Linked DNA regions of Ovis aries. The protein of the gene in region 1 interacts with the protein of each later gene in a biochemical or structural test. Links are inferred from orthologs where the notes say so. Each region holds a gene or a part of one and is shown on either strand. Other genes may lie near its edges.

The links. The genes of interacting proteins can lie anywhere in the genome.
Region 2: the proteins of TLE4 (region 1) and PAX5 form a complex in vitro, tested with the Homo sapiens proteins (2 studies listed by BioGRID). The link is inferred for Ovis aries from reciprocal best matches to the Homo sapiens genes TLE4 and PAX5.

What each region holds. Positions count from the first base shown.
Region 1 is NC_056055.1:57,304,565-57,308,995, forward strand, and holds the start of TLE4 (transducin-like enhancer protein 4), read right to left. Parts: upstream 2,805-4,431; 5' UTR 1,963-2,804; coding exon 1,918-1,962; intron 1,628-1,917; exon of another isoform or gene 1,412-1,627; coding exon of another isoform or gene 1,373-1,411; intron 1,084-1,372; coding exon 986-1,083; intron 1-985. UniProt on the Homo sapiens protein: Transcriptional corepressor that binds to a number of transcription factors. Inhibits the transcriptional activation mediated by PAX5, and by CTNNB1 and TCF family members in Wnt signaling.
Region 2 is NC_056055.1:51,690,458-51,694,116, reverse strand, and holds part of PAX5 (paired box protein Pax-5), read right to left. Parts: intron 636-3,659; coding exon 507-635; intron 1-506. UniProt on the Homo sapiens protein: Transcription factor that plays an essential role in commitment of lymphoid progenitors to the B-lymphocyte lineage. Fulfills a dual role by repressing B-lineage inappropriate genes and simultaneously activating B-lineage-specific genes.

The DNA of each region.
Region 1 (4,431 bases):
ACCATATCAACTATCTTAAGTACCACCCTCATTACGGAAAAACAGGCAGGAGAGAAAAGGGTGAGTGGAACCAGTCCCAGCTTGTCCTTTCAACAAGGATCAAATGTGGGGGGTTTTGCTTAAGAAAAAACCCTCTAGCCAATTAACTACAGAATCTCATTCAGAAATGAATATTCACTAAATTCACTAAACACAACATTAACGAGGAAATAAACATCAATAATGCCTACATCTCCAAGCAATAGTGGTCCCCTAAAAATGTCACAGGGGAATTTTTTCTTTTAATGTTCCACGAAAAGATTAATGAAAATATGAATCAAGCATGTCTTATGAATGATGTCTTATTTTTTCCCTCCAAAACACAGAGACAAGTTGAATACCACCACCCAGGGGCAAGGCATGGATCAGGTTCAGTGGCTTGTTTTGGTTCTGTAGTTTATGAAATAAGAAGTACAAGCCATTAAAAATCTAGCGAAAGAAAAATATTTCAAAGGCACTCTAAGATCTAGTGATTGTCTCTTCAGACGAAAACATCTTTTCAGCATAAAAGTAATGAAATCGCCTACTTGGCGACTTCCTAAGGCTCTGGGCTCTCGGTTTCAGTGGAATGGCATAAAGAAAGAAGGAATCAAGCCCGAAATTATAAAGGACCAAGAAAGTCAAAAGGCCCCAGAATGTTCCCAACCGTCTATTCGCCTGGCCTCAATAAATCAATATTGAAAGTTTGGCCTCGGCGTTTTCCAAGTGTCCCCAGTTTCGATTGTTTGGCCTTTTTTTTAATTTACGGGAAAAGGAAGAAACGCTTAATTTCTTTACACCTGCCTAGGGAAAAGAGGCCTTGACTTGCCCTTTCTGCCCACAAGGAAACATGGTAATACCTTTGTGGTGGCGGAAAAAAAAAAAAACGGGGGGGGGGGGGTGTTGTATGTTGGGAGAAGACAAGAGCTAAGCAAACAGAAGGATCAGCTAAAGTCAATATCTTTACCTGTGGTACTGAGCCTGTAAAAACTGAAACTCTTCCTTAATCCGATCACAGGACTCGGAAATGGTAAATTTAAAGGGTTGAGCAGGCTGATGCGGTGCCTAAAGAACAACAATAAAATATTTAATTAGCCCACAGCAGAAGCGAGGCAGAGAGATGGAGAAACCACCACGCGGCACTGGCGGGAGGGTGGGGGGTGTCATCTCAGGCAAAGAACGTGGAAAACTCTCCTCCCGCCCCCTCCCCTGGCCGCACAGCCAGGCTGAGGCTGGCCCCGGGCCCCCGCGTTCTGGCGCCCGCCCGGGACCCCGCGGGCTCGAGACCCCGCTCCCTTCCCACGTCAACGGCGGGGGCCCCGGGGCCGGCGCACCGCGCCCACAGCCTCCCCACCCGGAATCGAAACTGGCCCGTCGTGGGGACGCGCGCCATGGCGTCGGGCCGCGGTCAGGTCGGGGGAGGGGGCACGCGGCAGACACTCTCCCGGTCGGTCCGTCGGCTGGCTCGCTGATCTCCGGGACCCGCGGAGCGAAGGGCCGGCGCCCCGCACTCCCGAGCCGCCGCCGGACACGCCGCGCCGCCGCGGAGGGCGCCCTCCCCGCCCCGGCGCGGAGTCGCGCCTCCTCCATCGCTCGCCACCCCTCCTCCAGGAGTCGCGGCGCGGGGACGGCGAACAGCTCCGCGCGGCTTCCAGGGGCTTCAAAGACAACAATAAGAAAATGGCTACAACTCAATTGCTTCTCCGCACCCCCTCTCCGAAAGTGCCCTCGCGCCCGGGGAGAGCAGGGGCGGGGGGTGGAGGGCGACTCTCGAGCTGCGCGCGGGGTTTGGGCCGCCCTCCACGCCCCTCAGGCCAAAGACACAACTCAGCGCGCAGGGGGCGACGCGGGGAATCCCCCGGCGCCTGGTAAGCCCGCGCCCCCACCGCCCGCACTCACCGGGTGTCTGGTCTGCGGGTACATCTTGCTCAGGTCGCGAATCATCCAAACCGATTTAGTTGGCTGCGCTGGGCAGAGGCGCGCGGCTCATTGGCTTTAATGGCCCCGAGGAGGAGGCAGCGGCGGCGGAGGCGGCCGGCCGGGTCCGAGGGGCGGCTCGGACGGTCCCGGCCCCCGCTGGGTCTCGCGTGACGCGGACAGCAAGAACGCGCGGCGGCGGCGGCGCCTGGGTGCGGGCTGCCGAACCGCTCCGCATTCCCCGCGGGCGTCACTGGCCCGCCGCGGGCATTGTCCGGCGCGCGTCTCCCGCGGCAACGCTCCGACGTTCGCTCCGCTGAGGCGCGCCCGCCGAGCCCGGCGCCACAGCCGCGCGGCTCACCCGGGACGGGAAAGTGCGAGCTCCGCGCCCCAGCGCCCGCCGGCAGCGCCGCCCGTTCGCTCGCTGGCTCGCTCGGCGTCCCACTCCAAACTTTTTTTTATTTGTCTTTTAATTGGTTGTTATTCCTCCGAATGAATGATCTCTCTCTTCTTTCCTAAAAGCAAACACAAACTCCTTTGGTTCGGAAGAGGTCTCGGCGGTGCTTTTGGTTTCTCTGGAGATTTTTTCACCTCACAGCAACGATCTTTTAAAAGGCACCTTTTAGCTTCTTTTACCACATCTCATTTCCTTATTTTTCTTCCTTCCTGTTTTCTTGTCTTTTTTTTAACCCCAAATTGAAGGGGATTATAAAAATAAAAGAGTGAAACGCTTGCGGCTTTTTTTTTAATTCTCTCTCCTTTCAAACTCTGCGAACAGCACCTCAAAATAATATATAAGTGTGTGAGAGGGGGAAGAAAGCAGCCAACAGCTGAAACACCCGCTCAGAACAGCTCTAACAACACGCTCTGTGTAGGTGAGTTCTTTGACCAAATTTAGCAGCCGCTAATCATTAACATTCTGATACATATTCACAACCGTCCTTGGAGGGACCGCGGAGCATCCCGGGAGATGTAGTCCGCCTCCAGCGACGGTAGCCAAAGATTCAGCCAAATTGACTACAATCACCGGCCAGCCACGCGACCACTTTGGGGGGCCCTCCAAGCGTCCCGCCCACCCCCGGCGCGGTAGGCGTCTCCAACAACCAATCAGAGATGGCTGAACATTAATCGCCGTTCTGTGTTACTGCCCATCATTTCACTGCTGACAAATGGCGAACTAGAGGGGAGGAGCCGGCCTGGATGGAACCCACGTGGGGCCCGGGCGTCGTCCGTGGCTCGGACCAATGAATGCAACGAAATGGGGTGAGCGGAGGCGGGGCAGAGATGGCACGCCCAAGGCGGAGCTTCGCCTTGGCTGACGTTCCTGAGCGCGAGCGTTCGAACCGGGGAAACATTTGTTCGGCTGTCAATCAAAGTAACGTGGGCCTTGGAGCAGCGGTGGCTGCTGCTGCTGCTGCTGCTGCTGCTGCTGCCCTGGCTGCATCTTCAGAACTGGATGTTGGTGGCGGTGGTGGCGGCAAAATAAAGAGGGTTCAGGGGGCGGTAAGACTGGAAGTTAGTCAGAAGATCTTCCGAGTCTCGTCTTCCTTCCCGCCCCTCACCAACCCAAACATCCACGGCCCCATGCTCCGGGCCGCGCCAGGAATGCGGACTAATTAGGGTCCAATGTCTCCTTAAAGAGACAAGCTCGGCCTTGTGTAACGCTCCGAAACCCCTGTTGAGACAAGAGAGGGAGGATCACGCCGATCCCACTTCGTTCGGTTCACATCAATTTTACGCGCCGCTGGAGCTGGCATAATTTTCCGTGTGAACGCGGATTCGGGCCCCTGTTCTTGTTCAGAGCCCGAGACTGAGCTGCAAGACGCTGACCCGGGCGGGGGGCGGGGACGCGGGAGGAGGGGTGGCCCTCCGAGTCCCGAGCTGGCTGTGATTGCCGTTTAACCCCGAAGTGGGGCAACCTTCCCCAAGCAACTCTGCAAGGAAACTCCCCAGGACGCTCAGACTGGGGGTCGCGGGGGCGTCAGCGTGGAGTTTCAGGGTGGGACTGGAAGCCCGAGGTGGGCAGGGGTCGCCCGATTCCCGGAGAAACTTTGTCGAGAGAGCCACCTGCACCCCGCAGACTATCAGTTGGTCAGCGGGAAAAATAGGGTCATCCAGATGCTGGTCCCCGACACCGGGAAGAAAACGGACCTTCATGCCCCAAGATGCTCCCTCTCCCAGATCAGCAGGAAGAAGACTGCCCCTCATTTTCCCGTTTTTGGGAAGAGCAAGTCGAGCTTGTCGCTGTTGAAACGGGCAGGAAGCCACGCGAGAGGTGGCGGGTCGGCCACCTGGAAAGGGGACCGGGACTGGAAAGGTGGGGGCGTGTCCGGGGGTTGGAACCTGGGGAAGGGCATCCCTATGATAGAGGCTAAGAAATATGAGCGGACTTGGTGGCAATAAGGGACAGCCTAGGACCGGCAGCTTTTCCACCACTAGTCCAGCCAGGGGCAGCTCCCTGGGTTAAGGGGAAGCCGTGCAGCTTTCAATCTTTCC
Region 2 (3,659 bases), about 5.6 Mb from region 1:
TAAGGACAGAGATGAGATTATTCACTTCCTCAACCACCCCCCTCCCAGCACCACGCTGAAGGCCTGGGAGAGACCCCACTCGCTAAGCCTACTACAGGAGGGGTGCCCCTCTCACTATGCCCAGATCCATCCTCTCCCCAGGGGTCCCCCCAAAAGGGGCCATTGCTGCTGTGCTCATACCCCCACACCTGCCAAGGGACCGACTTCCTAGAGGTGGCAAAGCACAGGCCATGGAGTCCTGCCAGGACTGCCTTTCCCTCCAAAGGGTGAAGATGGGAGGAGGCCAGGGAGAAGTCCAGTCCCAGCCGGCCCCTCGTCCTTTCCCAGAAGGCTTAGCCCCTTCCCCGAGGGTCAGGTGGAGGCTGGGCCCGGCGCCTCCAGAGCTCCGCAGGTAAGGGGAGCGCATAGCAGTCATTTGTGCTCCCGCTCCTGACAAAGGGCCTGGAAACAGATCCCTCAGAGCCGGTGGGTCCATCCCCAACGACGGCGCGCGCAGCGTCTCTTACCTTCGTCTCTCTTGCGCTTGTTGGTGTCGGCGCTGGGGGATGTGATGCCCAGGATGCCGCTGATGGAGTAGGAGGAGCCAGCCGAGTCCGTGCTCACCGAGGACACCTGCGTCACGGAGCCCGTGGACACTGCGCAGAGGGAGAGGACGGTCAAGGCCCGGCAGGAGGCTTGGCGTGGGGGGGGAGGCGGCTCCGGGGAGGAGGAAGGTTGGGCCCCAGCCATCGGGCCAAAACAAAGGCACTCCCCCAACACCAGCTTGGTGCGCCGAGCGGAGAGGGTGGGGGGCGTGCTAAGGATGCCTCCCCCTGAACAGCAGCCACACCTGGAAGATAAGAGCGCCCCCCCTCCCAAGAGAACTGACAGCGGTGAAAGGAACTCAAACCCAGCCTATCCAAGGATGCAGGAAGCAGGGGGATGGAGCAGAGAAACTGGGGAGCTGCAGCCCACAGCCAGCCAGTGCTAAAAACAACATACTATTTAGGCAGGGTCACTGCCTATTTACACATCCACCCAGCCACGCAGACATAAGTATCTGCACACTCACACACATAGCCAGCAAAGCACCTAATGAAGACTGTCTCTTTTTTTAATAGTTCCTCACTGTCTTTTCTCCTTCCAGTTTACCTGGATTTTAATCTTTAATATTAGTTATACAATATTAAAAGTGAAAGTGAAATTGCTCAGTCGTGTCCAACTCTTTGCGACCCCATGGACTGTAGCCTACCAGGATCCTTCGTCCATGGGATTTTCCAGGCGAGAGTACTGGAGTGGGTTGCCATTTCCTTCTCTAGGGGATCTTCCCAACCCAGGGATCGAACCTGGGTCTCCCACATTGCAGGCAGACGCTTTGCCATCTGAGCCACCAAGGAAGTCTTATATATATATTATATATATATTATATATATTAATATACTCTATGATATATACATTGATATATAATAATGTTCATCTTTTTTGAGAACTTACTCTATGCCAGGCATTCTTGCATTATCATATTTAATGCTGAGAACAAACTTATAAGTTAGGTCACTGGAAAGGTAAGGGAATCAAGGTTCACAGAAGGTAAGTGACTTGCCCAAAGTCACACAGCTAATGAGACAGTGCAGTGACTGGAACCCAAGAACTAAAGTCTTAAGCCCTGTAGTAATCTGCTCCTCACCAATGAATAATGAAAAAACAATAATATGCTTCACATTAATAATGTATTTTTCGTTTGATGCTTGCAATAACTGAATGCTATTATTCATTCTCATTTATCAAGTGAAGAAACTGAGCCTCCATACGGCAAAATGATTGGCTCAAAGTCATCACACTAATAAGCAGTAGCACCAGGGCTCAGCCTTGGGTCGTCTGGCTTAAAGTCTAGATTTCTTCCGCCCCCAAACGTGGGTTGATGACTTACTGTGAATGAGGTATTAATATCTAAGTTCCTAAGAATAAGAAAGGGGGAGGGGAGGTTTCAGCAAGTTTCACATTAACTCCTGGCCCCAGAATCTAAGAGGGAGGCCCTTCGGTCATCAGGGGCCTCTCAAGCTGTACAGCTGAATTTCCATTTCTGGGCTGTGGGAATTCTTTCTCGGTTCATTAAAACCTGTAGACCAATCTCAGGCACATTTCCTTTGGCCATAACTAGCTGGAGGCAGGTGGAGCTGCTTTTGACTCTAAAGCGTAAGAAAATACTGGAGATGGAGGTGATCCGTTGAGAAGCTGTTTGTTGCTTTTCTTGGAGCACATCCAGCTTTTGCCCCTCCAGACCTAAGGGGAACAGAGCTTTCTTCACATAGTTGAGTTTGATTTTAGATCTTCCTTGGGAGACACAGAAGTAGAAATCGTTAACTTCTCTTTTCCTTCACCAGAAGAAGCGCCTCAAAATAGATTTATGCAAATCTCACAACCTTTTTTGTGTTAAGGTGCAAAGAACAGAGGAAGAAAGAAGATCACAAGTCATTTGATACTTTAAACAACAACAACCACATGTAACCAAGGTTCACCACGCTGCTGACAGAGCTGATGACATTTGTTCCAATATTTTGTGATCACACTTAGCTCAAAAGACCCAGGTTCCAATTCTGGCTTCTCCACTTACTGGCCATGTGACCGAGGGCTAGTTATTTCTTCTCTCTAAAGCTTCCATTTCCTCACTCTTTGGTAAGTTTATAAGCTATTAGGGGTGGCATACACATAAGATATGGTTTTTATACCAACTTCTGAGATTAGGCATTCTGCTGACTGTCAAGTGGAATTATTCCTCTCACCCAGTTGAAAGAATATTATCAGTTACCCTTAGTAGTCATTGCTATAGGACCTGAAATAGTTAAAGCTGCAAATGAAATCCCAGACACAGATATTTCCCCAGAAACTTCCCTCAATCCTCTTCACTCCAGCTCAGCACAGCTGGTCCATCCCTCTCTTCTGTTCCCACAGCACCCCTACTTTCTTCTTGAGCCTGATCTCAGTATTCACAAACTTCTCTCTGTAATTGTTGTTGTTCAGTCGCTAAGTCATGTCTGACCCTTTGTGATCCCATGGACTGTAGCCCATCAGGCTCCTCTGTCCATGGGATCTCCCAGGCAAGAATACGGGAGCGAGCCACCTTTTCCTTCTCCGGTGGTGAGGCAGGGGGGTCTTCTCAACTCAGGGATCAAACCCTCATCTCCTGCATTGCCAGGCGGATTTTACCACAGAGCCATCAGGGAAGTCTGAAAACATCTGTCGAAACCTGGGCTCTGGGCTCTTTGTGATAGTCCCCATTAGACCAAGAAGCCCTTGAGAACGGGGGATTTTGTCCTACTCCTTTATAATGTTAGTCTCCACAACAGGTTGCATAGCAGGGGCTTAGCCGATGCTTTTTGGATGGATTACTAAATGAAGACTTATTTTATGTAAAGGAGGAATTCTGTCTTACTTTGATGTAAAGAGGCAACCATTAGCAATCAGAGAGCTTCATGCTTTCTCCCAGCTAACCAGAGGTGTTTCTCTTATCCCAGGTGGAGAAATAATACACCTTGAGTAGAAACATGTCACTTTCATCTCAGGATCTTTGCAGGGAAGGGAAGGCAAGGGAAACTTCTGAATTCCTGAGTAGTAGGAAATATAACTCCCCTCCTTGGTCACTGTCAGACTTCACCCGTGAGTGTCAGAAACCCCAGTGG